4 linked regions of the Mus musculus genome follow. Each later gene encodes a partner of the first gene's protein in a complex. Links are inferred from orthologs where the notes say so. Each region holds a gene or a part of one and is shown in the gene's direction. Other genes may lie near its edges. The genes, in order: Akap13, Map2k3, Nod2 and Mapk14.

What was found.
Region 2: Akap13 (region 1) and Map2k3 share a complex: the UniProt entries of both Homo sapiens proteins name them as parts of the signaling complex. The link is inferred for Mus musculus from reciprocal best matches to the Homo sapiens genes AKAP13 and MAP2K3.
Region 3: Akap13 (region 1) and Nod2 share a complex: the UniProt entries of both Homo sapiens proteins name them as parts of the signaling complex. The link is inferred for Mus musculus from reciprocal best matches to the Homo sapiens genes AKAP13 and NOD2.
Region 4: Akap13 (region 1) and Mapk14 share a complex: the UniProt entries of both Homo sapiens proteins name them as parts of the signaling complex. The link is inferred for Mus musculus from reciprocal best matches to the Homo sapiens genes AKAP13 and MAPK14.

The regions. Positions count from the first base shown.
Region 1 is NC_000073.6:75,606,684-75,614,059, forward strand, and holds part of Akap13 (A-kinase anchor protein 13), read left to right. Parts: intron 1-1,801; coding exon 1,802-4,877; intron 4,878-4,926; exon of another isoform or gene 4,927-5,757; intron 5,758-7,376. UniProt on the Homo sapiens protein: Scaffold protein that plays an important role in assembling signaling complexes downstream of several types of G protein-coupled receptors.
Region 2 is NC_000077.6:60,940,077-60,947,452, forward strand, and holds part of Map2k3 (dual specificity mitogen-activated protein kinase kinase 3), read left to right. Parts: intron 1-1,454; exon of another isoform or gene 1,455-1,638; intron 1,639-1,803; coding exon 1,804-1,870; intron 1,871-2,228; coding exon 2,229-2,277; intron 2,278-3,074; coding exon 3,075-3,188; intron 3,189-3,410; coding exon 3,411-3,530; intron 3,531-4,588; coding exon 4,589-4,705; intron 4,706-5,434; coding exon 5,435-5,486; intron 5,487-6,567; coding exon 6,568-6,695; intron 6,696-7,034; coding exon 7,035-7,112; intron 7,113-7,376. UniProt on the Homo sapiens protein: Dual specificity kinase. Is activated by cytokines and environmental stress in vivo. Catalyzes the concomitant phosphorylation of a threonine and a tyrosine residue in the MAP kinase p38.
Region 3 is NC_000074.6:88,644,477-88,652,287, forward strand, and holds the start of Nod2 (nucleotide-binding oligomerization domain-containing protein 2), read left to right. Parts: upstream 1-2,870; 5' UTR 2,871-2,933; intron 2,934-7,170; exon of another isoform or gene 7,171-7,193; intron 7,194-7,811. UniProt on the Homo sapiens protein: Pattern recognition receptor (PRR) that detects bacterial peptidoglycan fragments and other danger signals and plays an important role in gastrointestinal immunity.
Region 4 is NC_000083.6:28,688,758-28,696,573, forward strand, and holds the start of Mapk14 (mitogen-activated protein kinase 14), read left to right. Parts: upstream 1-2,584; 5' UTR 2,585-2,982; coding exon 2,983-3,098; intron 3,099-3,810; exon of another isoform or gene 3,811-3,925; intron 3,926-3,998; exon of another isoform or gene 3,999-4,043; intron 4,044-7,816. Other genes in the region: Slc26a8 (testis anion transporter 1), read right to left, coding at 960-1,167, 1,374-1,431. UniProt on the Homo sapiens protein: Serine/threonine kinase which acts as an essential component of the MAP kinase signal transduction pathway.

The DNA.
Region 1 (7,376 bases):
ACCATCCTTTCATCTCAGCTCCAAACTTTGTCTCTGTAACTCCTTCCAAGGGTGTTTTGTTCCCACTTCTAAGGAGGGGCATAGTGTCCACACTTCAGTCTTCATTTTTCTTGAGTTTCATGTGTTTAGGAAATTGTATCTTATATCTTGGGCATTCTTGAAACAGCACTGCCTACCTACTTCCCTGGTCTGCAGTGCTCACTCTTAATTAAGGGTATTGATTTACTGCCCTAACTATTAGAAGGAGTGTACTCTTAAGGGATACAGCATACTCGTGTTTAGTGAGAATCTGGTTTTTAGTACACTCTAACAAAAGGACTTTAGCAAGGATAGCAGACTATACTCTTCTTTGCAGACTTTATGATACCTTTAATTAGTAGGAACAATCTGATGATATAGTATATTTACAGATTAAACAGATAAGTGAGGCATGCTAATGACTGTATTAAAGGTATTATAAAGGACAAGAAATGGAGAACAGATATTTTAAAATAATTATGTACCAAATAAATAGCACTATATCTGAATTTTGATATTATAAATTCACTAAAGGTGCAATCCTATTTGTTTGTTTTTATTTTCCTGAGCCTTGTCTGTACGTCTATGATATTTTTATATTATTTATTTTTAAGACTTATTTTAATTTTGTGTGTGTGCACACACATGTGTGCAAACATCCCACCCCCATGCATGTGTGTTGTGGGGGAGTATGTGCAGATAAATGCAAACAGGAAGGTATCAAATTCCCTGCAGCTAGAATTAGAAGTGTTTGTAAGGTGCCTGATGTAGGGTGCTGAAAATAGAAATCTCAGGCCCTCTGCAAGAGAAGTATGCATTCTTCAGCAGAGCTATCGCCTCGGTCTTTTTTTCCCCCCCCCTTAATTAATAACTTCTGATCAACTGTAAATTTTATTTAGTTTTTTCATTCTCTCTCTCTCTCTCTCTCTCTTTCTCTCTCTCTCTCTCTCTCTCTCTCTCTCTCTCTCTCTCTCTCTCTCTCTTTCTCTCTCTCTCTCTCTCACACACACACACACACACACACACATTCCAGGGGCAGAAGACTAGATTAGATAGTTAGGCTGTCTTCATAGTTCCTATAACAGTGTTGTGTTATTTTTATAACATTGATGAACTGTGATTGTTTTAGCCATTTCTTTCTTATTTGCTGTATTTGTTCATATAATTAATTTTTAAGAACCTTTCCACTATGCATAGTAATGTGGGTACAATCTCAGTAGTTAGGATGGAGAAACGGAAGGGTTGAGGCGTTTTGAAGCTAGCCAGTCTATATAGCAAATTTCTCTACATAGTGAGACCTTGTCTCAGAAAAGATGCAAGCAAAACTAAATTAATTTTAAGGTGCTAAAAACCATTTTTGATCATATTTTTAGTGCCCTCAAGCCATAACACCCTTGACAGTAGTTAAGAGTTTGGTTTGGCTAATAGTATACACTCTCTTTTCTTTAATATGCTGTATGGACAGCACAAAACCCACTTTTTATCTAACTGATACATAGAATTCCTAATTCTAAAAGCGTAGATATGTTGGATTGAACATATTTTGGGAATGTAGTTACGTGGCTGAATATTTTGCTTGAAAGGGGTTCTAAAACTGATTATACTGTGTCTTTACATCGGTATTTGAGGCAGATGGATAGAAGGCCCGGAAAGACAGTGCTTGTCCAACAAGACTTGGCTTACAGGTATCAGTGACATCTTTTTCTCTTAGTCAGCACACCCCCCCACACACACTTTTCTTTTCATGATCAATTTTTAAAAGGTATCTTTGGTTTCCTCCTAGAAAACAAACTTGAAGCAGATGGACAATCTCATGCCATTAATGGTGACAGCACAAGATTCGTCTTGTGTGCCCAGTGTACCAGAGACAGATGGCCTATTCCTTCCCTGTGTACCAGAGCCTTCTGACCACCAGCATCCTCCTTTTGAAGAAACTAAGAGCACTCTGTGCTGCCAAAGGAGTCCTGGGAGGATGGCTGAAAGTTCCTGTGATTTGTCAAGCATGGTTGAGGAAGAAAATGTCATCTGTTCTCATAAGAAAAATAAAGATGTGGGGAGAAAGGGGGAAGAGGCGGAGCCAGCATCTGCCATGGACTCCGGGTCTGCATCTCATCAAGACAGCTGCCTTCAGAGCGTACCCGACTGTGGAGTGAAGGGCAGAGAAGGTCTTCCATCCTGTGGAAACAGAAACGAAGTAACTGGAACAAACTATTCTGGAGTAGCCACATGTCAGCAGCCACTGAGCAGCAGGAGCAGTGTGCTGCAGGATGCCATGGTCACAGAACCAGATGCATGCCAGCACTCTTCTGGAAGGGAGCTACCAGACAGCTCTTCAACAGATGTTGGTGCCCCAGAAAAGGCAGGGGAACTGGAACATAGCCTGCTTACCCCAGATGCTACCACCCAGAACAATAAGCCTCAAGTAGGGGAAGGCACAAAGGAAAGACTTGAGAATTCAGACAGTAGCACAACTGAAACAACTGCTGTTCAAGTTTTAAGTGAACCCATGGAGAAAGCCGATATTACAAACCATGTCTTTGCCACCAGTGCCGTAGGTGTTAACACTCCTGCTGAGGCTTCACCTGCATTGAGTTCTGAAGAAATCCCCACTGAAAAACCAGGAATGGAAACTCAAGAGAGAGGCTGTGAGGGGGGAACCACAAGTGACCAGAGCTCCCCGGTGCTTCCTGCTGCTGCTATAGAAAACAAGGTTTTAGGTGGACAAGAACCTGATACTTCCATAGCAGGCTTTTGTAAGACAGCATCACCTTTGGATTTAACCATGCCAGGCCCAAGTTCAGATGGGATGCCAGAACAGAACTCAGAGTCTCATGCACGGCCTGCTCAAAGCCTAAGTGGCCAGGCGCTGCTCTGTTCTACAGCTGAGGCTGGCACGCCTTCTGCTGAGGCTACACATCAGCCGAGCACAGTGACTTCTAGTGGCAGGTTGGAAGAATGTGGCAGTGGTAAAGCTAGCCTGCCTGAAAGCACAATGGTGCAGCCAAGCACGCAAGAACTTTGCACCACCCTCTGCCCAGAAGACCCACAAGCTGACACAGTCACTTCTGACACTGTGAAAAATACCCAGAAATCTGTGGGGGTTTGTCATCTCTGTGTTTCAGATGCAAAGAATCAAGGAAATGGTTTGAAGCAAGATACACCTTTAACGAACGTGCTTGAGGATGTTCCACGTCTGCCTTCAGTTGTCTCCCAGACTGAGAAAGAACTAGCGCCAGACCAGGTATCACCTCCAGCCAGCAGTTTCTCTCTGGCAAGCAGTCCAGAGAGTGAATCAGTAACCAAAGATGACGCACTTTCTCTTGTCCCCTCCCAGAAAGAAAAGGGAACAGCAACTCCTCAGCTCCATAGAACTACAGCTTGTCGAGATGGCCCAGATGGAAGAGATTTGAGTGATACCGATAAGGTAGGAGACGGGGCCACTGACCCACCTCCATCCTCTGCTGTAGAGCTTCGGACCAGCATGGGAAATACCAGCCCTGTAGGCATTGGTGGAGAACAGGAGGGTTCCAGCCCAACAGCAACACTTGAAGTGCTGAGTGACTCTTTACTGCATAACGTGGATAAAGCTGCTTTGGTTTCTGACTTTACTCTGCCTGAAGAAGGTGTCAGTGTAGTGGTTCCAGAAAGTTCCACAGCTCTGGGGCAAGATGGCAAAGATAGAGCAATGAGCTGTTCTTCAGTTAAAGAAGACGTGCATTCTTCAGAAATGTCAAGGGAAGACCAGAGAACACCTCCCTCTGGGCAGGAGATACCAGGACTCTGTGAAAAACCTATGTCAGCCCTCTGTGCCGAGGAGAAAGCACAGCAGCACACACCCTCTGCCTGTCTGAAAACAGAAACTAAAGACATCAAGGAAGTGGCCCCACAGGTCTCCCTGCTGACTGAAGGTGGGGCTGCAAAGAGCCTGGTGCCACCAAGAACGAGTCTGTCTGCCGATTCAAAGCAGAAAGCCTCGAGTACAGAGCAGAGCGGCTCATCTCTGTTGCCAAGTGGGCTGCCAGGTGCGTCTGAGGCACTCCATTGTAATCAGCCTTCTGCTCTCGATGTTGTCGTAGAGAATACTCAGTTCCAAGGGGAAACCAATGCTTGTGAGGTAAGCAGAAGTGCGATGGAGGATGTTACAGTGGCTGATGCTTCACCAGCTACTGCTGAGCCCAGAAAAAAGGATGCATCACACTGTATCAAAGACATCCCAATTTCAGAGTTGTTAAACCAAGAGAAGCAAATGACTCCAAGTTTGCCAGAAGCTTTCCTGGACAAAGGTGTCACTGACTTACAGGAAGTCATAACCCCAGAGATAGAACCACTTGATTGCAAGAGAGAGACGCTGGAGGGAACAGACCTTAACTGTGCCACGAGTAACTCCAAAGAGACCCCAATCGAAAAACCAATGCAGCCTCTTGCCAGGGACCTCCCCACAGAGACAGGGCTCTCAGTGATCAATAACAATGTCCCCCAAGCTGACATGAAGCAAGTGGCACAGGCTTCCATCCCGGCAGAGGAAAGTAATGCCACTACTGTCTCAACCCAAGCTGCAGATGTGCCTACCAGAGCAGACTCCATAGAGGAGACCGCCACTAGGATAGTGGAGGCCGTCATCAGGCAAGTCAGGGCCTCCAACGCACTGATGGCTAAAGTAGAAACCCAGAATCCGTCACTCTCCAGTCCAGAGACTAAGCAGCTAGAGAATGCTTACACAGAGAGTGCATGCGCTTTCCTGCCTGGGGAGACCCCGCAGATAGAGAAGACGCACGAAGACACCACCGGGCAGTGTGGTGCTGAGACAGAAGAACCAGAGAAAATTATTCTACCTGAGTCAGCACCAGGTAAGCAAGGCAGTTTATAAGACTTAACAGCTTAAGAATCATGTCTCTGTTGTGTACTAGAATGTCGATATTGTTGGTTTGTAGTCCTACTTGCTCAGTCATGTAAGTTGCCAAGTTAATAGTCACTGCTGTCAGAAAACACGTGTCATCTTAGGTTGGACAGATTTTACTTCCTGTATTACAGGTGCAAAGCTTTCCTGTTGTTGTTGTTTTTTCAAGCCTACCTTCTCTGTCACACTGGAGCCATTGCAGTTTCTAAATCCGGAAGACAGTACATGGATCTCAGACGGCGTTAGATAATCAAACAGCTTAGTTCTTTTCTTTAGAACCCCAGAATGTAGCGCTGAAATGAATGTGCTTTGTTTACAGATTGGAAACTTTTCCAAGTCATAGCTGTCTGTATTGTAAGAGAATTTAAAGTTGGGCCGGCTTCATGAGCAGCTGTTTTTGAGAAGTACTGAATTAAATGAACATCTAAAACGGTGATATTAGGTCATTGCTTAAGTTGGGGGTGTGTACTCTTCCTCCTTTTCCTGCCTGAGAAACAGACCTCCAGGTTTGCTGCTTTGCTTTTGGGCAGAGTCTGGGAATTCAGGGTCCTGCACAGCACAGGGGATAGGATACAGGATTTCCGCCCAAGCCCAGTCCGCTGCGCTGCTGTCACCAGGCAGACCTGGTGTCTGCTTATCTCGGTGAAGCAGCTGCACTAAGCAGATTGCTCAACACAAGCTGCCTGTTCCATCGATGGGTAACTATGTCCTAAAGAGAGTGTCGAGAAGCCACCATTGCTCAGTGGAATGAACTCACTGGATAGAACTTCTTATGGCCTTTGAGACTGAAGCCGAAACTGTATTCGGAATGGCTGTCACTCTTGTCTTCTGAAGTCCGGAAGGTCAGTTGATGCAGACGTTTATGCCGCCACCACATGCTACCCTGTACTGTGGCTCTGATGCTTTTGTGATAGGTGTTTTGTTTTTTTTTTTTTTTTTTTTAACTGTTGGCAGTGCTTTTAAGAATAGTGAATAGTACATGTTAGAATTGTGGGTATGGGGTATGAAGAGAGATGAACAAAAATAAAGAAATTGTTTCTGGAGAAGGGGGTTCAAACACGGTAAGTACTATGCCCAGATGAAGGGCTTTTGGACTGTTTTAAACCCCAACTTCCAGAGCAGCAGTTACATGACTAAGGAAGCTGATGTGGGGGTCTTGGTGACTTCAGTTTTTAGACTGAGTACTGTTTCAGGCTGGCTTCTATCTTAACACTGAAATGAGGTCTCTAATTTTTTTAAAAAGGCACAACAACAAGTCTATTTTGGGGACCTTGGCAGGTTGGCATTTCAGAAGCATGGGAGTGACTGTAAGCTGATGCCTGGCTGTTTTTCCTTTCTTTGGGTGCTCTGTCCTTGGCCAGCCTGGATGGGATTATTTCTCCTTCTTGTTCTGTGATCACAATTTGATCCTAGTAACTGGGAACTATGAAGTGTGTGTCTGTAGCACTGGATCTGAAAAGGTTAAAAAAAAAAAAAAGGAGGGAGGGGGAGAGAGAGAAGGAAACTGGCAGAGTCTTAGACGTCTGTTCTTAAGTGTATATATAACTGTGGTGAAGATACTAAGAAATGGTACAAAGTTTTTAAGGCTTGAAGAAGGAAGTTTTAAAAGTTAATGTGATTTTGCTGTGATATATTTTGTGTCGGTGAGTTACTTGTTTTGTTACCCAAAGGACTTATAACGGGCTTGGTGCTCTACAAAAAAAAAAAAAAAAAAAGTAGCCACGGTGAAGACATTGGTGCTTTCTTCACGAAATAGCCAGGGTTGAGGAAAGTCCCTGGTCACTTTGCCTTAAAAAAAAAAAAAAAACACCTGCATGTGATCTCATAGCCAGGGGTATTTTTTGTGGAGGTTGCATTCCACTCATGGATTGCTTTATGAGTCAGTCAGCTGTTGATTTGGGAGAAGCCTGTTAGAAGGCAATGTGAACCTTTGCCTCTTCAAAAGCATTGATTGATCACTGTGCTGAGCAAACCAAGATTGTCGGTGCTTGACTAAACCAAGCCAGTTCTGCAGTCTCAGTAATCAGTGTTTACTTTTGTAGCTGGTACATAGCTCCCATTGCTGGGGCATAGGAAAGTTGGGGTTATGCTAAAAATCACATTCTAACCATACCCCTCTTTTATAATACACACAGTTATTCTCTCAGAAACGTTTTCCTGGAGGGATTCCTTAATCAGATTCTTCAAAATAAAACTTAATTGTATGAAAGCTAACAGATTTTCATTCTCTGAGTAAGCAAACATGTCTACCTATTTTAAATTGCTAGTAAGGTTGTATAATTATAAAGGAAAAGACAAAGAATTTTGAATGTTCTTTTGTTAGGAATGTGACTTTCACAATCTAAGACCTTTTAGAGGGTCACACTTGCTGTTAGAGTGAATGATCTTAATGTTTTATTCTTGGATGATAGATACTGTGGTATTTTAGACGGGGTGTTTTATTGCCAAAGTACTAGTGTCG
Region 2 (7,376 bases), on another chromosome or scaffold:
CTGTGACTCTAGATATTCTAAGCAGAGCTGTGTATTTTATTACAGAATATTTTATATTTTGGTTACAGAGAACCTCATGTCAGGAATGCAAACTAGATATCACAGGCCAAAGTGCAGAGAAATAGCTTGCACGCTATGCCATTCTGGGTCCATGCAGAGTTTCTGTAGCTGTCTACCTCTACTCCTAGCACGTGTAGCCAGACGTGGTACCTGGCAAAGACTTGGACCCACAGGTGCATGAGACTCAGGACCTGTCCCTCCAGCACAGGGACAAACCCCCTGCTCCCGAAGGGGTCTGCAGTGAGCCCAGCTGCCTCCCTCGATCTTCTGGTCAGTACTTTTGAAAGCCACTCTGGGCTGGCCCGAATACACAGGCCTTACTGCCTTAGTCACACCCCAAGCTCTATATTGTGCGTAGCTATGGCTGGATCTGCCAGAAACTGGTTTAGATGTGGCTTCAGGAGCTAGGTGGCCAGAGTGAGCTGGTGGCAGTTTGCAGGATGCAGTGTAAGCCTCTGGGAAGGGCAGGCACTTGGTCACTGCTTTCCTGCTCTGTGTGATACCGAGGAGACTTGTCACATCTACCTCTCTCATCCTGCTTCTCTCTCACATTTTCTCCCCTGGTGGGGGTCAGAGCCCCTGCTTCCTGGAGAAGCCGAGACTGAAAGAGTCAGTGCCTGCTGCCAGTGGTGGGCGCTGAGCCACATGGCCCTACAAATAGGAGGTGGAAGTCCGTTCATGCCGGTTGTGCACCAGGCCATGTCTTCATTGCCCCAGTGGGTGTCTATGCTCTGGTTTGACCAGTGGGCAAACTGAGGCTCTGAGTGTGGAAATACAGTGAGCAGGGATTAGAACTCAGTCTCAGGCACTCCCCCACGAACGTTGACCCTCGTGGAAGGACACAGTGCGGCTAGGGTTATTGTCATAAAGTCCCACGGCCACAGAGTGGACGGCTTCCGCAGCAGGTATCGGAGAGGAGGGTAGGCAGCTCTCATAGGCCACCCAGGAAGGCTCTGCCTGTGCTTGCTTTCAAGCCTCTCTTTGGCTAAGGGGTGGCATCTCCCATGGCTCCACTTATCTTCCTTTTCTGTACCCGTTTCCTCTATTATAAGGATACCAGTGGGGTTGGGAGAACACTTACCTGGGATTCTTCCCCTATATGTGCACATGCACAAATGCAAACACACCCACCAGCCTTGTCACAGGATTAGGGCCAACCCTAATGATATCATTTTGATTTAATTGGCCACAAAAAAACCCTACCATTTTCCAAATAAGGTCACATTCTTGGGTACTGGGGGGTCAAGACTTCAGTATATAAGTTTTGAAAGACACAGCTCAGCCCAAAACAAGAGACGTAGGACACAAGCTTTTGTGTGGTTGGGAACACTGGTACTGGGCAGACGACATTCCATTCCTGGCAGTAAGAGGCCTGGAAACTCATGCATAGCTGAGCATTTGAGTGTGTGTGTGTGCGCGCGCGCGTGCTATAGGCACAGCTGTCTGATGCCTCCCAGCTGCAGGGCAGCTCCCAGGAGGGTGGGGCTTGTCTCTGCTATTGTGGGAGGAGGACTGAACCTGCTCCCCAGACTGAGTGGGACCATGCTCTGCCTACCCCAAAGCCCTGAGGCTCTCTGGGTACTGATCATACTGACTCTCGGACGTGTGTGTGTGTGTGTGTGTGTGTGTGTGTGTGTGTGTGTGTGTGTGTGTGTGTACCAGAGATCTGAGTGACCTCTGTCCCTAGCTTTGCACAGCCCAGGGCTGAATGTTGATCAGATCCCCGTCTTTTCTCCACTTCAGGAAAATCCAAAAGGAAAAAGGACTTACGGATATCCTGCGTGTCCAAGCCACCTGTGTCCAACCCCACGTGAGTCTGCCTTAAGTTTCTCACTTTGTTGAGACTTGGAGAGGCCTCTTAGTGGAGGCCAGGGGTATGAGTAAGAAGCAGGAATACGGGGGTCAGAGGTGGGTGAGAGAGCATTCTCTTCTCATCCCGCCCTGGGTGGCTCCAGAGGGTCTCAGGAGCATTGGCTGTTTGTCCCATGCCTTCCCAGTCCTTGTCTTGGGGTCTCTGTCAGGGCTGCACCGTTACACTTTACCTTGTGGATGCCTAACAGTCACTGGACTGAGGTGACTGTAAGCTGCCCCCATGGCCAGTGTGTTTCACCCTCACCCCCCTATAGCTCCTTCTCTCAGAGAAGCTTGTGGATCTGCTTTCTCCACAGACCCCCCCGGAACCTGGACTCCCGGACCTTCATCACTATCGGAGACAGAGTAGGTGGTAACTAGACACTGAGAGGCCTCCATAGGGCCACTGAGAGGTAGCTGGAGCTGGGCCTCAGGGAGGAGCTTACCGTAGCTTATCATGCTGGTGGCTGTGGCCCTGGGCTATCTGCCCTTAGACCTCCTCTCTGGAAGAAGTACATTCCACCTGCCTTATAGGGAGGGGTGTGAGGAGCGCAGAGCTGCCACACTGCCTACCTCAGAGTGTGGGCTATGAATCCCACATGAAATCTGTACCACCTGGAAGCACCATGTGGGACATGTAGACTCCTGGGCTCCCCAGACCCCAGGTCAGACCCTAGACTCCATACTGTCCATACCCCTGAGTGCCTTGGAAGGCCACCTACTATTGAGAAGCCTGATTTGGGGATGTGTACCAGGCAGAGTAGGCCGAGAGCCTCTTCTTGGAAGATCCTCCCTCCCCAAGCCTTTGTCACTGCCTGGTGTTCTGTTAGTCCAGTTGTGTAATCCCATGTCTCTCACTCAGGGGAGGGAACTCCCACAAAGGGTCAGTAGATGATTGACTAATAGCTCCCTTTGCTGAGATGTGTGTGGAAGACGTCTCCCATAGTCTCCGAGTTTTTGGTTTTGCACCCATTTTATAGAGATCAGCGGTAGGGTCAGATTGGCTCAGTTCTTTCCACTGGGTCACAAAGCGTATAGTACATGGCGTATAGTAGCTGCGAGCTCAAATCTGACAAGCTGGCCCTCTGCTTTTCTCTGGGTGAGGGACAAGAGCCAGTTTCCAGCTTGGTGCCTACCAATCACCTCTCCCTTTGCCTCTTAAGAACTTCGAAGTGGAGGCTGATGACTTGGTGACCATCTCAGAGCTGGGTCGTGGAGCCTATGGGGTGGTAGAGAAAGTGCGGCATGCTCAGAGTGGTACCATCATGGCTGTCAAGGTAAGCAGGGCTTCACCCTACCTGGAGTAGCACTGGAGGAGGCACTGGCTGAGCTTCAGAGTGACTGTCTACTTGTGGCTCTGTCCCTCACTGTCATCACCAGCGTTGAGGCAGAACTTCTCAGACAAGTCAGGGCCATGGATTCCCCAAGGTTCCTGGCCCTCATGGACTGGGTTAGGGGAACAGCCTAATCCGTGGCCCTGACATGTGGCTCTCCTATAGCGCATCCGGGCCACAGTGAACACACAGGAGCAGAAACGTCTGCTTATGGACCTAGACATCAACATGCGCACGGTCGACTGCTTCTACACTGTCACCTTCTATGGTGCCCTCTTCAGAGAGGTAGGCTCTGTCTCTGCCCACCTCTTGCCAATCACGACTGCCATTTCAGTCCTATTGTGTGGAGTTCCCGGGACCTTTGGGTATAGGGGAGTTATACTCAAGGTATAGGGAGCACCCTTCACCTGATGCAGCTTGGCTGGGCTCTTCTTGAGAGGCAGGCTTTCCTGTTCCTGACCCGCTCTGCCTCAGGTTCCCTGTCTGAAGATTAAACAGGTGTCTGAGCAGTTCTCTTCAGGTTGTGCTCAGGGGCCTGGAGCTCCGGGGCAGCTGAGATTTCTGTTTGTGGTCGTTTGCTTTCTGTTAGCCCCGTAGTGGCCATTCAGGGCAAGCCCCCAGGGGAGAAGCACTGTGAAGGGGTGAGGATCTGGGCTAGAGTCTAGGTGTATGTTAGGGTAGAGGAATGGAGGGTAAAGCAGGGTGCAGGGTCTAGGAGCAAGAGCACAGAGCTGCCGTTGGAAGCATATAGTACGCACCAGAGTCAGGATGGAACTGGGACTTCCCATGATGACCTGCCATCTTGGAGTTCTTGAGTGGTCCGTGATGTTTCTCTGCCCTGGCTTTCCTTTGGGTCCCTCTCAAGTCCCAGTGGTGGCTCAGACCCCACTTTATGCATCTCATGTGGTGGACTGAGCAACTTGTGTAAGTGTCAGCCAGCTCATCCCAAGGCTATGCGGGTTTGCTGGGGAGAAGAAAGGTCATTTTCCAGTGAAGAAATTCGGTTCTTGTCCCTTTATGTCCTGACTTAAAAGTCTCAGGACACACTAGGTTCCCGATTGCTTGGGAACACTGTTATACTAGGGCACAGAGCGGGGAGACTAGGGCGGGGGAGCATGAACTGCATGGTGAGGTGCCAGAGAGGCCGATCTGAAAGGCAGACGGCGATGGCGAGGGGTGAGAAGTGTGGTGAGAAGGGTCATCGTGTCCCTTCCCAGGTGGAGGCTGGACCTGGTGCTCACAGCGAGGCTGTTAAGATGAAGGCTGGAGAAGCCTGGGAGTCTGTAGACTGCCCAGGGCTGGGCAGCACTGGGGGACCAGCTAAGCACTGGATGTTCTCACAGGGGGATGTATGGATCTGCATGGAGCTCATGGACACTTCCCTGGATAAGTTCTACCGGAAGGTGCTGGAGAAGAACATGAAAATTCCGGAAGACATCCTGGGGGAGATCGCTGTGTCTGTGAGTGGCCTCGCTCTACCCAGCATGCACAGGACCTGCTGTGTGGCTGAATTTTGGCAGAGTAGCTGTCCCCTCTAAGACTCAGTACTTCTGAAGCCTGAGAGCAGTACCTTGCTGAAGAGGCCCCAGGGATGGGGCTCTTCAGACTGGACTGCTCCCTGCTTCCAAGGTCGTGAGTGCGGCTCTCACGTTCCCACCCACTTTGAAGAAAGTGCCGTGTGTCCCACTGCCTTGTACTCAGATGCCGCCTGACAGCTATTGGAGGTCCAGGCTGCTTTGGGGAGATGTTTGCTTTCTGAGCCTGCTGTTTCTAGAGGAGGGCAGCAACTCTGGTTTGAGTATTGAAACAGGGCGGGCAGTCGTATCAAGGATGCCCTTTAATCCTATTTGCATCTGGAAGCGTTTAAACCACCCTGTGCCTCAGGCTCTTTTTTTTTTTTTTTTTTTTTTTTTTTTGTCTAATCTCTTAGAGGTGGCTCATGGGGGAGTGAGAGAAACTTGGGGGCCTGGTAGGTCTTGGTAAAAGCCCTTAGGAGGCACTGCTTGGGATTTGTGGAGCAGGAGGAAGGCAGGAAGCTGACATGTTTGTCCTAGGACAGCCAGGATGAGGGACAGATTTGGGGCGTAGGCAGGAGCTGGGGTGTGTTTAGAGGAGATGGGGTTCTACTGCTGTGTTATGATTTCTGTTACCTGGAATAATAGCAGCCCTGCCTCTCCTGCCCCATTCAGATCGTGCGGGCCCTGGAGCACCTGCATAGCAAGCTGTCTGTGATCCACAGAGGTCAGTGTCCTCCATCAGCCACAGAGGCTCAGGGAGGGGCAGACTGTGATATACCTGCTGGGGAATAGGCCGCTTTCTGCATTTGTGCCTTTGGCTCTGCCTGCTGCACTCTGAATAGGAGGAACTAAGTGGATCCCAGCTTTTTCTGAGCTCCATGGCCCGCTTCTCTCTCTCTCTCTCTCTCTTCATAAAGATGTATTTATTTATTATATGTAAGTGCATCAGATCTCATTATGGATGGTTGTGAGCCACCATGTGGTTGCTGGAACTTGAACTCAGGACCTTCTGAAGAGCAGTCAGTGCTTTAACCACTGAGCCATCTCTCCAGCCCCATGGCCCGCTTCTCATTCATATTTACATTTCCTGTGCCGTGGAGCACCTAGGTTGTGGCATGTCACACTAGGACTCTGATACAAGCCCCCTTACCCCACACATGACTATCCTGGACTCTTCTGGGATTCCTTTGCCCCCATGGCCACTAGTCTGGGCTTCCCCCTCCAGGGTTATACTTAATTAAGTATCAGCCTCCCATTAACTTGGTTGCACTGTACCTAGAAAACGAAGGAGGCTAAGTGGACTTCGATGACCAGCACCCATCCCATTCTGTCCACGGGTCATCATTGTTGACTCTTTGGCATGGAACCTTCCCGTCTTTTCTGGGGCATCTTTGTCTTTTTCACATCCATGTGGCCCTTTGCTTGGAGGCTCCTGCCTCCTGTGAGACAGGGATGGGTGGGGCTCCTCATTTGCATGCACAGACCCATCCGCATACCTTCACTCCACCTCATTGTTCACCCACTACCTTCTGCTTGCTGGATTTGTGTCCATAGCAGGTGACGTGCTTAGGTAGCCTCAAGGTAGAGTCTCCAGAGCTCAGATGTTTCTCTTTGGTTGGGATAGGCTGAAGTTCATTTTGATTTGTCATCCAGCCGAGCGATGGGGCCTGGTGCTGCAGATCTCACTGCCGCTGTTTCCTTGGCTAATCCTTGGGGCATTGGGTAGCATGCTGCTGGCCCACAGGGCACTGGAGAAGGTAGCATCCCATTTGGCATGGACTGAGAAAGGTCTGCTCTTCTTGTAGATGTGAAGCCATCCAATGTCCTCATCAACAAGGAAGGGCATGTGAAGATGTGCGACTTTGGCATCAGTGGCTACCTGGTGGACTCTGTGGCAAAGACAATGGATGCTGGCTGCAAGCCTTACATGGCCGTGAGTCAGGGCATCCCCGCAAGGTGGAGACCAGGACAAGATTTTGCCTCTGTGCAGTGGGCTGGCTATTTCCAGCCGTACCTCCAGTCTTAGAGACCCTGCCACCATTTACCTATACTCCATGATCCCTGTTTGGATGAACTTGTGTTCTCTGTTGTTAGGAACATGGGGATCCTTAAGACTGGTGGCCTGGGGGGAAGGCAGGGGTTGGCTCTCGCTCTTGCTGGCCTATATCATGCAGGCAGGAGAACCTAATGGTATTCTGTTTTGGTGTAGAAGAGAAAAGGTCTAATTGAGGGAGCCTTGTTGGGTGTTCAAGCCTTCTGGTCTTTCTTGCAGCCTGAGAGGATCAACCCTGAACTGAATCAGAAGGGCTACAATGTCAAGTCTGATGTCTGGAGCCTCGGCATCACCATGGTACGTCTGGGGCTGGGCTCAGCACTTGCTGGCCTGTTGGGATGGATGTCTGTCTGTATAGGGTCTGTGGGTTCCATCAAACATTTCTATATGAGTACAAGGATATCTGGGAGTTGTAGGACCCTTTCCTGACCATCATGATTGTTCTCTGTATCCTGTGATTTCAGCCTTTTCTCTAGAGCCACTGGTGTAGATCAGGAAATCCCAGGCAATGCTAAGCTTAGTTGTTGCCGTGCAAGTAAATCAAGAAGGCAAACTCTTAGC
Region 3 (7,811 bases), on another chromosome or scaffold:
AATTCAGATGTAGATTCCTGATCAAAACACTCCCTTACAGGGTTTAGTTCACACACAGTTCCATATAACTGTTGATCATCCAAAGCAGCAAGGACAGGAATTCAAGCAGGGCAGGAACCTGGGGGCAGGAGCTGATGCAGAGACCACAGAAGGGTGCTGCTTACTGGCTTGCTCACCATGGCTTGCTCATCTTGTGTTCTTATAGAACCCGGGACCATCAGCCCAGGGATGGCACCACCCACGGTGGACTGGGCCCTCCCATGTCCATCACTAGGAAATGTCCTACCACTAGGTCTTATGGAGACATTCTCTCTATTGAGCTTCTCTCCTCTCAGATGACTCTAGTTTGTGTCAAGGTGACATAAATCTAGCCAATGCGATCCTGAAAGAGTGTGAGTGAACACGTGTCAGTTGGAGTTTTCTGGATTCTACTTGTCGGTCAGCGTCATGGTTCAAATGTAAAATGCTCCATAGGCTCGTGCTTTGAATACTGGGTCCAATAGGTGTGCTATTTGGTATAAAGCTGCAGACTATAACTTCAGGCTTTTCCTCCTAGCCACTTAGTTCCCTGAAATAATGATTCTGAGACCAGTTATTTATTAATAAATGCTTAAGCCATACGCTTTGGCTTGTTCTCTGACTAGCTCATAACTCCATTATCCCTTTTATTCTAATCTGAGTTCAGCCATGTGATGGCTGGTTTCCTGCCTCATCTTCTTATGTCCATCTCCTCAGTATCCTGGGGCGAATCTCTCATGTTTGTTTCCCAGAATTCTCTCCTGGATGTTCCACCTCCGATTTCCTGCTTCAGCTTATTGGCAATAGGCTTTTTTTATTGATAGGCAATGCTTTTACACAGTGAGATTCTCCTTGCAGAAGCGCCTTTAGAAAGCGTGTGTGTGTGGGGGGGAGGCAGCTGGTAGAAATGGATCACTATGGGCAGACCTTTGAAGGCTATGTCTGGTTCCTGTAACTCTCTGCTTCCTGGTCCAGAATGGAGGTGAACAGTCTCTACCATGCATTTCTTCTGCCATGAGCTAGGTTTCCACCATGCTCCCCAACCCCTCCTCCTCCATGGTAGACAGGTACTTGACGCTAAGCCTGACAAGCTAAATTCGATCCTCAGGACCCCACATGGTGAAAAGAGAACTGAGTCCTCCAAGTTGTCCTATGACCTCCACTCATGTGCCAAGACATATATGCATCCACATACATAATACCCACAGACAATAAATAAATGTAAACTATTTAAAATCAAAACTGTTGGGTTTGAAACTGTTTCAAACAGGGGACAAGCAGCTGAGGTGTCTATTTAACACATCAAAGTAGACCTGGTCTCCAGGTTCTCCCAGCATCCTTCAGTTCCTACCTATTTCTGGGTATGGATGGAATACTCACCCTCTACCCTGACCTCTCCAGCCCAGGGGCTGGGCTTCCCCCTCCCCCAGAGGCTCTTCCCTATATAATCCAGACATCTGCATGCTCGTTCTTCTTATCTCTCTGCCTCCACCCCCATCCCCTCCTTGTCTGTGTGGTAATTTCCCTGGCCCTATTCCTTGGCATCCGTGAACCTGCTCTAGAGCGGCTCCCAAATAAACCTTCCCTACTTTTAATTCAGCTTGTATTGGGTTATTTCATCCGCATAAGTACTGCATAGGTACTTAACTTGGAAGCAGTGTGAGGCAGTGGTTAGCGCACAGTCTTTGGTGCCTGAGGCCTGGGACACATCACGGTGTTGACAGGCTAGTGAATTTTTTTGTGCTTCAGTTTCTTCATCCGTAAGCCTGGGACAAGAGGAGTGCCCTACAGGTGGGGTTAAGAGACTTACTGAGAGCAGAGGCCAGCACAATACTAAGTGTCAGTTTCAGAAGGAACTCCCCAGACAGAAGGCTAAAGGGAGTATCTATTAGCATACCAAAGCACCAAAGCCTGTGGTGGCCTCCAGGCTCCCTCATAACCTGTAGCTCTCCATAGTTCTTACCCTACATCCCAACTCTAAGCTTCTCCAGCTTGTGGGCTTCCCTCCCCCAACTTCTCATTCCCATAAAACCCTGCCATTTGGCTGTGCTCTCTCTTGGCTCTCTCTCTCTCTCTCTCTCTCTCTCTCTCTCTCTTCTCCCTCTCCCCACCCCACATTGGTTGTCTCTTTCTCTTCCTCTCATGGTCATGTCCCCGCTGACCATGTTCAAGCTGCTATTTTCCCTGCTCTGGACTCTTCCAGATGCCTCCGGCTGTACCCTTCCTCATATCTACAATACAAATCTTCGGAACCTCAACCATACCTTGGAAGTGGTTTATACACAATTTCATGTCTGGGTCAATTATTCTCTCCTCTCCCTTTCTCTCTCAAATGAGAGTTCATGTACAAGTCTTTTTAGAAGTAACATTAAGAATGGGAACTAAACAACGCTGGCGAATTCCGATTAGGATGGTGGCAGAGCCCAGCCTAGGAGGCTACGTTGGAGGCAAGTGCTATTACACTTAGACCTCTTTCCTCAGCTTGCATGGGACTGACAACCAAGGGGAAAAGAGGAACTTTAAATGCCCTAACACCACCCAGCACGGCCTTCTGGGAATGCCTCCATTAAGACTGTAGCTGACTAAGGGCTTACAAATCCCTGAGAGGGTGCATCGGCTCCTACTGACACTGAGGGCTTTCCTAGCTCTTGTTCCCAGGACTCTGGTTCCCTTGTGATTGAAACCGGTCCCCAAGGGCAGAACACAAAGCACTGCAGGCAGGCCTGTTCCCGGATACCTGTCTCACCAGTCCCTAGAGGGAAATCAGGAGGGGTGTGGCCGCCCTTCCCAGCCTGCCAGAGTGGGCGGGGTCTCTGGCTAGGTGGGTGGGGCGATGGGCGGGAGTAGATCACTGAGGGAGTCCTAGTGTGGAGTCACCGCAAAACTGGCGAGGGATCCCCACGCTGCAGCTGGCGGTGAGTGCTTGCTTTCTGGTTCTGTGGTCTGCGGGTGATCGGGGTGGGTGGATATGTGGAAAGGAGGGTTTTCTCGCGGGGAGACCGAGGACTCCCGGGCAACAGCGCTTGGTTTTGTGGAGATCACGACCGTCACAAGTCCCATCGCGGGGACGCTGTTAACTGGCTCTGGAGCTGGCCTGGCTGAGCTCCTGAAAGGGACTCTGTTTCTCCTGGAAGCATCGACGGAGTAGATAGGCTGTAAAAGGAAAGGGATGTCTCGAGGGGAGCCACGGCAGGCTTTGGTAACTGAGAAGGAATAGGGTATTGGGACCAAATTGAAGCCCCCAGGATCCTTTGAAGTCTGAGGCGAGGCTGTGATTTGGAGGTGGCTGGGACAACGGAGGGGAAACTTGCAGGTGAGGTCCTTACCCAGAGGGAGAAAACCCTGCTTTGGGTCTTAGCAGGAACTATTCCTGGTTCAGTTCCCCCCACCCCCTTCTCTCTAACTTCTGTGTCTTTTTCAGAACCTGCAGGGTCCTGGCCTGGGGCAGGGACATTGGCTTTTCTGTATGTAATCTCACCCACGGTTGATACCCTGCAGGGGAAATGCCCCCTCCCTCATCTCTGCCCTCCTGAAGACCAAAGAGTCAGCCCCATTGGCTCTGGTCTGCTCAGTCTGTTGTGAGGCCTTTGGGGCTCCCAGTTTCTTGGCCACTTAATGCCAGTTGGCCTCCACATGCAGCTCCAAGCTGGCACTGGCTCCATCTTGTCCCCTCTCTCCCACCCAGGTCAGCATTGTAGGGTGGCCCAGTGAGCAGACGCTTACTGCTAACAAAGTGGCTTCTATAGCTGTTTGGCCAAAGTCTGTGCCTTGCAACTCTCTGGTTCCACAGCCACCCCCGCCCCCACGCTGTGTGGAACAAACACATCCTCAGCCCATGCAGACCCCATCTGTACACTGGGTGATGCACAGGGATATGGTGAATACATCATGCTAACACATGCCATCTCAGAGGATAGGAAGTACTGTGGGGAGAAAAAGCTGGGACAGGGCTTAGGGGCTACAGTTTTGCATAGCATAGGAAGGCACCTCTGAGAGAGTCACCACTGAGCAAAGTCTTAAGGAGGGGATTGGCAAGTCATGTGACTATCTAGGGGGAGCTAGAGAAAGCCCCCACTGTGTGTGTGTGTGTGTGTGTGTGTGTGTGTGTAGGTAGGGAGGGAGGAGCTTATAGAAGCATGACAGACCAGAGCAGGGTGTAAATGGAGGGATGAATTGGAGGGCTGGGGGTGGATGGTGGGTGGCAAGGAGGAAAGGGGTGGCATCTGAGGTCTCTTGTATTGGGCTTGAGTTCGCCATAAAAGCTTTTGGCTTTCGCTTTGACTCTGATGGGAGCCATGAACAGATAAGGCTCCTGCTCTGACTTAAGGTTTGGCAGGGTTCATCAAGTTGTGAGGCTGAGACTGCCTATGGAGGTTCATGGCAGATGAGGGAAACATGAAGGGAGGCTATAGAGCTTACATCATGGCATAGAGAGAACCTGTGGCTTTCAGATTTGGAGTCTGTTGGAGGTTGGATGGATAGTCTGTGATGCTGGAGAGAGGCAGCGTCAAGCATGACTCTGAGAGTTCGGGGCTGCCTTCGTCTGCGAGGGGAGCTGATAGGAGGGAGAGCCGGTGATTGATTTTGTATTTGTCTTTTGGAGATGTTGGTAGGTACCACATGATGTTGAATAGTGTCCAGTAACATTTCAGTCATCGTTATCTCACAGTTGGGAATTGGGCCTGTGGGCAGAGACGCATCAGTGATTTGTACTTGGGGGTGGGGTGGGGGACTAGGAATCAGCCTTGGAGGCAGAATGGATAGAAAGAGCAGCTGGGAAGCAGGGAAGAATATCAGTGAAACCCTTCATGACTTCCAGAGAAGTGCTCCAGGGAGGAAGGTGACAGAAAGAAAGGCAGAGAACAGAACAAGTGGAAATCATGGTTTGTATTCTCTCTGGTAGTGGGTGTGGGAGGGGATGAAGGAGATGGGGTGGATTTGGGAATGGCAGTTCAGGTCCAGACAAGGGAGGGCAGAAATGAAGGATGAATTGATCTGTTTGTTCTCTGATGGGAACTGGTTTCCTGGGGAGCAACTCAGACATGGGGCAGGAGAGGAGTTAGTTAGTGCTCCAGGGAGATCTTAGCCAGTCAGGACTAGGACAGCTCAGGGCTGCATTCTGCTCTCCTCTTGCTGCCTTCCTTTCTCTCCCGTCTGCTGGAGGCCTGGGGGCACTGCAAAGGGATTTCAGCCCTTGAACAAAGTCCTCAGCTAGGAACTTCAGGAACACCAGGCTACCTATGATCCTGGATAGGAAGGAAGTGCCAAGAAACAGACATGGGCCTTTGTTGATACCCTTGACCCTCTGTTTCAGAAAGGAAGTGACCCCCTTTGTTTGGGTTGCACCTTGCAGAGCCTAAGAGTGACTCCAATGTGGCACTAGCCTGGTAGAGAAGGCAAGGATGACAAAGCAGTGTGTTTAGCCTGGGGAGAGCAAGTCTGACAAGGGAGGAAGGTACAAGAACGAGATTCTGGGACTAACTAATAAAGAACTTCTTCAGCCTGTCAGGAGGACAGCTTCAAGCCCAGGTCTTCTTTTCCAGCTCTTTGGGATGAGATAGGGAGTTGGCCTTCTTAGAGGCAGAGGGCTGGCAGAATTGGTCTTTGGGGATATGTCTTGCCTTGTGTCTGCAGGAGACTGGCAAGATGGGAATTTCCAGCTTTAATAGAAGACAGAGTACCAGACCACGTAGCTTTCCTGCCTCGCCCTGCCCGTGTCCACACTGCTGATGTCATTGCCTGGGTGTGGATGGTTTGGGTATACGGCAGGCAGGCTCTTAACATATCTGGGGAGGGCTTCTGCTCTCTCAAAGTTGTTTCTGTCTGGGCAAGCACGTTTATTGGAGACACATCACACCACCAGGGTCTTTGAGTGAAAGCCAGTGTAGATGTGCCAGTTTTTGTGCCAGGACTGCCAAGAACTAGCAAGTTCTTCTGGGCGCTGGCCTGCCACCTCAGGCTTCCTGCTGAAGCTTTTGGGATTTCCCCTAGGGTGGGTTGGCCTGATCAGAGACTGCCTGTGCTATGCCTCTGGGATTTTTGGCTCATTGTGCTTTGCAGAAGAAGGAAACAGTAAGTGTCTTACCCAGCCTCCTATAGGTAAAATGAGCCAGGCCAATCTCAAATCTTTTCATTCCCCATAACTTCCTGCTGTACCTCAGGCCTCAGGCAAGAGTGCTAACATCACCTCTGTGCTTTTCTCTTAGTAGGAAGGGGCACTGGTTACTTTTCTCAGGACCCAGGCAGGGGTGCTGGAGTAGCACCCTACCTCTGGCTGGTTTGCACAGTGGAGACTCAGTCCACGATTTGGCCCCAGCTCATGCTGCCCCTTGCTGTCATCTGCCTCTTTCCCATCCTTGGCTCCTCCTGGGCTGAGTACAGGGTACAGGTGACATGCTTGGCCAGTGAGGACTCTAAGCGCCACAGTAGGGAGACCTTCTCTCCTTCGCTGCCAGATACTCAGGTAGCTTCGCTGCCTCGGCTTTTCCCTGTCTGGTCAGCCCCAGGCTTCCAGCCTGCGTGTCCGCAATGTGGTGTTGAGTTAGAGATTGAAGATAGCCCCAGAGCATTCCAGCCCCAGGCTTCTCTGGCTGGGCTTGGAGTTAACATCCCTAGGGCTTCCAGTGAGCCCAGTGCTTTGCCAGCATAGGGGTGTCAGACTGAGGGAGACCTAGCCTGCAGTGTGGGCCTGCTGTAGAGGAAGGTATCAGAATCTAACAGGAAAGACCTGGGCTCCCCAGGCCATTTCCAGCTGCCCCCACCCCTTCTCCTCAGCATCTTAGAATGTCCCAGATTTTGAAAGGAAGTCTTTCTTCCGCTTCCTCCTTGCCTGTGCTCTTTCGCTTTCCTTTTCTCCGGGTGTACTGGCTGGTTTTGTGTGTCAATTTGACACAGGCTGGAGTTATCACAGAGAAAGGAGCTTCAGTTGGGGAAGTGCCTCCATGAGATCCAGCTGTAAGGCATTTTCTCAGTTAATGATCAAGGGGGAGGGCCCCGTGTGGGTGGGACCATCTCTGGGCTGGTTGTATTGGGTTCTATAAGAAAGCAGGCTGAGCAAGCCAGGTGAAGCAAGCCAGTAAGAAACATCCCTCCATGGCCTCTGCATCAGCGCCTGCTTCCTGACCTGCTTGAGTTCCAGTCCTGACTTCCTTTGGTGATCAACAGCAATGTGGAAGGTATAAGCTGAATAAACCCTTTCCTCCCCAACTGCTTCTTGGTCATGATGTTTGTGCAGGAATAGAAACCCTGACTAAGAGTGGGCGTGGTGGCACATGCCTTTAATCCCAGCACTTGGGAGGCAGAGGCAGGCGGATTTCTGAGTTTGAGGCCAGCCTGGTCTACAAAGTGAGTTCCAGGACAGCCAAGGCTACACAGAGAAACCCTGTCTCAAAAAACCAAAAAAAAACACACACAAAAAAAAACCTGACTAAGACACCGGGCTCTGCCCCAGGCCAGTGGCAGTTACAAACTGGCCTATTTCTCTGCCGCGTAGGATCTTAGTGCCTAAAACCTCTGATGGTCCCTTCCTCACCGAGTCCCCAGCACTCGGGTCTGAAGGCTGAGCTCCTGAGGATTGTGGCAGAGGGGCTGCATGCAGTGTGTGCTGCTGAATTCGTAGGAGGAAGCAAGGGCCTTCCGTCAAGGGTATGTGTGTGTATGTGTGTGTTGCTATCAATGAGTGGCATACCAATGGGCTCTGAACCAACTTTGTGTGCACCATGACATCCCATTCCACCAGGATTGGCATCTTTACAGAAATCCCCAGATCTATCCATGGAACATAAAGAGTTATG
Region 4 (7,816 bases), on another chromosome or scaffold:
TTAACACAGCTCTTTTTGCTTCTGCTACCCTCAGCCATCTGTCCATCCATCCATTCACCCACTCACTGATTCGTTTAAAATCTCTATTTGGGATATTTTAAATGCAAAAAAATGTAACCCGATTTATAAAATTTTGACTCAAAGGACCAGAAACCCTCAAAATTAGTTAAGGTACAAGAATATCTTTTACCTAATTAAGTCATCTTTCACATGCTTTCTAAAACCATAAGACAAAATTCACTTCCAATTAAAAAAAAAAAAAAAAAAAAGCACTTGTATTTCCCAACCAAAAACCTCATTGCCTGTGACTCTCAGTTTTGGTGGAGAATGTATTGGGGATGGTCTAGTGGCAGGAGATGCTTGAAGGTGGCAGCCCTCCAGCTGCTGACAGGTCACATAAACACCTTCCCTTAATGCTAGTCAGTGTGATACCAAGCAGGTGTGGTAGAGAGATCCTCATTACTGGGCTGAACAGTGGAGACTTCATGGGGGGACCCAAAGTCCAGCAATAAGGACTAGAAGACAGAGAAGGAGGAGAGGGGACAGAGGGTGGGCTTAAGGCAGAGAGAACAAAATGAGCAGAACAGTAAAGTCTGGAAGCAAAGGGGGCCCTGAGCTGCGGCCTGATGAGGACACAGAGAGTGGAAGTGTGGGGGGCCCACAGTCCAGTTCCTTCAGCTGTGGACATCACAGAGATGCGAATTTTTGAAAGGATCCAGTATGCAAATTCCATGTTGTCTCTTGCCATTTCGGTTTCACGCAGCCTTTCTATAAGGAGAGAGAAGTTCCAGGGACCACCGCTATTCATTCATTCATTCATTCATTCATTCACCCACTCCTTGTGCCTGGGACACTCCTGGCTCTGCAGGTGACCCAAGCAGCCACGCTCTGGGACGCGAGCGGGCTGTCAGCTCCCAGGCGGCAGCCAGAGCTCCGGACCGCTCCCGACCCAGGCTCACCTGGTTTCCGGTGGCCCGCAGGAGCGCAGACGCTGGGGACAGACTCGGCTCCAGCCTGGCTGGCGGCAGCGCTGCGGACGCGGAGGCCGGCAGTTCCGGAGCCGTTGCTGCAGAACCCGCGGGCGTTCCGGCTGTGCGGGTGACGGGCGAGGATGGCATCTGGGCCGAGGAGAAGGGGTCCCTGCTGCCCTCCACATACCCGGATCTTCTAGAAATAGCCACGAGAATAAGATTTCCCCTTTCTCCTGCTCGGTGTAGGCATGGGTGGATGTGGGTTCTTACGGGTCTAACTTTCCCCATTCACTTTTATTAGCTTTCTCGGCTTCTACGGAAGATTCCACTAGGTGGGAATGCAGGGTCGCATTGATCTTGTAGAGACTAGAACCAGGGCCTAAGAAAGCTCAACAGACTTACCTAAATGAGATGCGGTCAGAATGCTCGCCCTAGTAGTTCTCCATACTCTCAGAGGCATGAATTAAGTCTTTAATACCCACCCCCCAATTTTCTTTTAAATTTCTAAACTTTGGATGGCTCTAAAGGGCAAGAGTCGGTCTCAAACCCGAGTGATGGTTTTTGGGGTGTTGCACATACGGTCTCATCACTACACAGCAGAGGCTTGGTCTCCTGGTTTTTCCAAATGCTAGAATTACAGGATTTGTAAATACAAATAAACAAATAAATAAATAAACAAATAAATAAATAAGAAGGGTCCCCTGGTCTTTCCAAATGCTGGAATTACAGGTTGTGTATAAATAAATAAATAAGAGAAAGGTCTCTTGGTCTTTTCAAATGCTGGAATTACAGGTTCTGTACATATAAATAAATAGTATGAAAGGGTCTCCTGGTCTTTCTAAATGCTGGAATTACAGGCTGTGTAAATAGATATATATGTATGCATGTATATGAAGGGTTTTCTGGTCTTTCCAAATGCCGGAATTGCAGGTGGTGTAAATATAAATAAATAAATGAGAAGACCTTCCTGAAATGGAATGACCTACTTGCAGTGTGTGTGTGTACCTTCCCCTTCCAGTAGTGGGTATTGAACCCAGGGCCTTGCAAATGCTGGTCCCCAGCCTGGAAGTGGCCATTCATGATGTCTACCTCTGACCTCGTGCATTGGAACTCCCTGTGGGTCCCTGGAACCTCCTTCTGCCACTTCTGCCTGAAAACATGTAGGAGCGCCTGGAGGGAGAGCCTGGGCTTTGAGGCAAGACTAATATTTGCCTAGGGGGCAGGTTTCACCAGCATCCCGAGGTGAGCCACTTGTCCTTGAGCAGACCGGAATGCGACAGCTTTCTGGACAGGGCCTGTCTGTTCTTTCAAGTTGTTCTTGGAAATTGACGACTCTAGTGAGCAGGTTGCTCGGAGTTCAAAGATCATTTGGCTCTCTTCCCCGACGCTGTCACAGCGGCTTTCCGCCATGGCGCCAGGCATTCGCCCGTGCGACCACAGAGAGGCGCGCGCGCCCCGCGCTGCGGCCTCCACCCTTGGCGCCCCGGGGAGCCCAGTCCCCGAGAGTTCCTGCCTCGGCTCCCCAAGCCGCGTCCCTCTTCTCGCGAGATCTGCCGGCCCTGCGCGCTCTTCTCGCGACCCCCCGCCCCGTGGGCAGGTTCCATATTGGGTAAGATCTGGATTCAGAGCGGGGCCTCCTTGGAGCTGTTCTCGCGAGAGTTCCGCGAGAGGCTCCCGGCCGCTGCCTGTGGGATCGCCGCCACTGGAGCCCAAGCGGGGCGCTGAAGCGCGAGCGGGTGTCTTGCGGCGTCGGCGTGCGCTCCCTCCCCGGGGAGCGGCTGCAGGAGGACCGCGGCGGGAGCAGCCTCGAGCCGTGCAGCCGGCTCCGGCACCTTGCCGACGCTCGTAGGAGCCGCCGCGGCTGACAGGGGCGGCGGGTCGCAGCCTCCACACCTGCGCGGGTGGCGGGCGCGGGGTCCGGTCTGCCGCGGGCGGGCGCAGAGGAGAGCGTGCGGCTGCAGGCAGGAGCCCCCGCTCGGCCACCTCCTCGCCCCGCTGCTGCCGCTGGAAGATGTCGCAGGAGAGGCCCACGTTCTACCGGCAGGAGCTGAACAAGACCATCTGGGAGGTGCCCGAACGATACCAGAACCTGTCCCCGGTGGGCTCGGGCGCCTATGGCTCGGTGTGGTGAGTGTCGCCGGGCCTCGGGTTAGGGGTGGGGTGGGGGGACGCGGTGGAGCAAGCAGGGTGGCCCTGCATGCCTGAGGGCCAGGCCTGTCCCCACAGCTCAGCGATGCGCCCAGCGGCAGGAATTCTCCTCCGGGCGTGTCTGGGGGTGCAGGGGGCAGCTGGAGCGGGACGTGTCCTGCACCCCTCGCCCTGCATACGCAGGTCGGGGGCGAGCCGTGTGCGGGAGCGGGTCAGCTGCGGACGCGGTGGGATGCTTCTCTACCCTGCGCTCTCCCTGCTCCCAAGACTGGCCCTCCCGGGGGTCCTCTGCTGCAGCGCGGCCTCAGGACCCTGCCTCCGGGTACCGCCACTCGGGACGCGGGAGCCCTGCCCCGGGGAGCAGACGAGCTGGGCGGAGCTCCAGCGAGGAGCTGTAGGGCAAAGCCTGACCCGGGGACTGCGGTCACCTGAACGAAACTTGCAAGAGAAAGCGCTCCTTTCCCGGAATTTTTTTTTTTTTCCTTTTTTCTCCCCCTTTTCCCATTTTTGCAAGCCTCCATCGAAAAATCCTGTCTCAGGAAACGTTCCTTTGGGATTCGCACTTGAATTAGCAGCACCCCGAAGAGCTTAAAATACCGACTTTATCTCGGGGACCACGGTGCCAGCTTGCGTGGTGTGTTTCCGATTCGGTTGAAAGCGTATTTCCTTTTCGGGGAGGGAGGGTGGCAGCGCCTTGCAAGGACGCTCCAGCTCGCCGCTTAGTCACATACCACTGCTCATTTCAGTATTGTTTGACAAAACAGTTTTCCATACCGAGCAGAGGGGCGCCCCTCAAGATCAAGAAGGTAGGACTAGAGCTGGAGGTGTAGATAGCTTTTAATTGAAGTAATTCATGGGGGTGCTTTTCTTTTTTTTAAGTCCCTTAGAAGATTTGCGGAGTTTTATCAGCTTGTAAGTACCGAGGTACGTGGTGGTTTTCGGGAGATCCTGGAACATAGGAAACGATGCTTTTTAGCTTTCCTTAACACCGGGTGGGGGAGGGGGGTAGGAGTGGGGGGGGGCCTATTTTAGTTCCACTATGGCTCTCCCTGTCTTGCCTGGAACTCAACAAATTTTGTCTGCCAGCTCTGAGAATAAAGGCTTTTGCTACCATGCATGGCCCTGGGAGCAGGTTTCAGATTAAATTTCTACCATAAAACTTCCACTCCAGAAATGTTCTAAGGAACTTTGAAGGATTCACGCAGTATCTTTTACTATATCTTTTAGAGCTCCCTATCTGATAGTAATCTGATAGATTCAGTAGATGAGCCCTTCCTGTGTTTTAGTGACTTACATGCATTCATGGTTTCCGAAGGAGTCTGGGAAATGGTTTTTGTTTTGGAACAAATTCCAGGCTTCTGGATGTGCTAACCTTTAAGTATGAGTCCTGTGTTACTTAAAGTCATATCGTGAATTTCCTGTTTGGTAGAATCTTCTGGGTAATTGAGATTGTGCAATTGTGTCCAGCAACAGATCACATTGCATTTGCTGGCTCAAGCTGCTTAAGCTATGTTGCAGATGATACCAACTTGGACATCTTTCTCACGAGTCTACAGAATGGCAGTTTACACTTTAAAGGAAATGTCAATAATATCTCTCATGTATTTGTGATTGATCTGTTGCATCATTGTTTCTCTAATAGTTACCAGCTCCTTAAGTATCTCCATTCTTCGTTCCTAATTGGTACAGTACCAGGCGTTTGTTTCCATTTGAATGCTCAGGGAGTGAAGCTCAGGGGCTTCTGGGATGGTGAATTTGCAAGGTTTCCTGTGGACACCACTGTCCTGGCAGAAGAGCCAGCTTCACAGTGAAGTGCCACAGTGAAACCAACTCCACTTCCTCTAGTGCTGCTGTTTTCTGTGTAATATAATTGAGCACAACCTCACAATTAAATAGACTTCTACCAAACAGCTTCTTAAACATAGGTAGTGCTGGCCCAGTGATGGAACGCAGTGGGACAGCCCTGGCCTTGCCTGTGGGAGGCCCTGCATTCCAGCCCCAGCAGCAGTGCACCACACAAAGCAGGTTGCTTGAAATAAGGGCCCAAAAGGTATGCAGCAAAAATCCTGTTTCTGCTCTCAGCCCTGCATGCTGGTCTTCCAGAGACAACCACTGTTTAGTTCCTTGCCTGACATTCCAGAGAGGTGTAGTTTCTAGCGTAGAGATTTACTATGTAGCCTATTGATGAGGAAAAGATAGCTGAAATTGTGTGTGACCCAGCAAATGTCACCTTCAGTTAGATTTGCAAGTGTTAACTTCTCTCAAGTTATTTGAAATTGTGTTTTCAATTAGCTTTTTAGGTGTGACTGAAAAATACTTTTTTGTTTGTTTTTTGAGATGAGCTGTCCTAGAATTCACATTGTAGACCAGACTGGCCTCCAACTCCGATCAGCTGGACTTTGCCTCTCAGAGTGCCTGGATTAAAGACTTGCAACACTACACCTGACTTCTTGAATTTCTTTTTTAATCCACTTTGAGGCCTGTGTTCCCTTTCTTCACCTTCGTTCTCTGAGATAGTTTGATGTTGGGGAATAATGAAGTCCATTTGAATGGATATAATTGAGGGGGATTTAAACTGAGCTCTTGAGAAGAGAGGAGGCTGTTCTACTGGTGACAGTGGAATAAGTCAGGAGGGACCTGAAGTCTCTTCAAAAAAGGAATCTCTGAATTGGACATGATACACTTTGATTTGTAACTTAATTTTTTTCTTTTAAGTTTAAGATTAATTTTAATTTGTATTATGCAGTGAGCGACAGTAACAAAAAACAAGCAGCAAACTGTAGTATTACCAACTGTGACTCAAAGTTGAATGAGAGTCTAGAAATTGAGAATTGGCTTGTTTTTACAAATATCTTTCTTTTTAAAAGTGTAAAGGGAACTAAACTAAGTTCTCTAAGTTTTAAGGAACTGTATTTACTGCCTGAAAAGGGAAACAAGCAAAATCATTAAGACCACATTGTTGCAAAGCATTGATTGTGTGGTTTGGGACATAGGGGAAAATCTTTGTGGTGAATTTAAGGAAATACAAACGGGAACGTCAGTGTCTTTCCTCTGGGGAAAGGGGCTCTCCAGCCCCTTGCTGGACACACTTGGGTACCATGCCTTGGGAGTGAGAATTAAGAATTACTTCTAGATCATTCACAGCTATTTATTCATTAGTCTGGATTACATAACACCAAACTCTGGCTAGAATCAAGGCTAGATTCTTGAGCTAAAAGTACAGAACGAGACAGCTCATTTTGTCATTGGGCTTGTAGAAGAATGGATGGATTTAATGGCTGCATTTTATGGGTTGCTTGCTGTGTTGTAGGCATGGAGATGCTTAGTTTATGATCGGCATGTAGACATGTAACAAACTTGTAGCTAAACATGGTAATTTCTTCTAACTAAATCTGATTTAGCATGCTATATAGGACAAGATTATTCCAGTAAATATAACAAAAATAAATGAAGCTTTTTTTTTTTAAGTATTAATAGCCATTCACCATTAGTTTTAATTAGCCAGGGAAAAAAAATAAAACTCCACAATTAGGTATGACTTTTCACTCTTGACGACCGAGAAGGCTGGGCCTTTACTATTAGTTGTAATAATAGCCGGTCTCTCTTCCTTCCCTTCCTGCCTTTCTTCCTACTTTCCTTCAGGACACAGCCTTCTGGTCTTGAACTCTTGATCCACTTGTCTGAGGCTCTCTAATGCTAGGGTCATAGGAGTGGGCCACCAAGCTGCTTTAGCTGACCTATCTCCCATTTACTGTTTTGTGACTAAAAGTAGACTAGTTAACTGGATGTTACCAGTCTTAATAAGCATTTAGGTTTGAGGCCAACCTAGCCTCACTCAGCAGAGTGAACTCAGTGCCCTTTCTCAAGAAAAACAATAAATAAACAAAAAGTGCCCACCAAATATGATTGGCAAGAGGGTGTGTGTGTGTGTGTGTGTGTGTGTGTGTGTGTGTATGTATGTGTGTGTGTGTGTGTATGTGTTTAGATTTATTTATTGTTATTTGTATGAATGTTTTGTTTGAATGTGTATTTCTACACCACAAAGTGCTTGGTGCCTCTGGAGCCCAGAAGGGGGTATTGGATCCTCTGGACTTGGAGTTACAGAAGGTTGTGAGCCACCAGAAGCCCTTGCCAGTGCTCATAACCACTAAGCATCTCTTCCCCAGCTCCCGGCAATGGTTTGTATGGATGGAGGAGAGTTCAGCTGAGCTAGCTGTAGAGTTTATTTTGTTGAGTTCCGTTTCCCACTCATGATGAGCACTACACCCCAGGCCTCTGAGTTCTGCCACTTTTCAGTTTTGAATATTGAGGAGTATTCTTTTGATTTCTCTTTAATTCAGCCTCAGAGATGATATGTGTTGGCTTTGCCTTCTGTGGACAATGTTGGGAATTGTGCTAAACCCTTAAAGCTTAGGACTCAAATGTCGAGGAGTTCCCTGGATGCTGTCACTTTCGTATTAACTGGCATCTTAATGTGATTCTTTGGTTTATCATGATCTTCATTTAAGGCATTATCAGTCCCTCTCTTTCTAGAGTAGGTGGGTTGCTTTTCCTTCTCTCTCTCTTCTGCATCTTTAGTAACGGAACCCTGGGGGCTGGTGCACACTAACCATGGGATCCAGTGAGCTGCACTCCAGCCTCCAGGCTGGCGTTTTAGCCTAGTTCTGTGGATGAGCTGGGGTTAACAGAAGACCCTG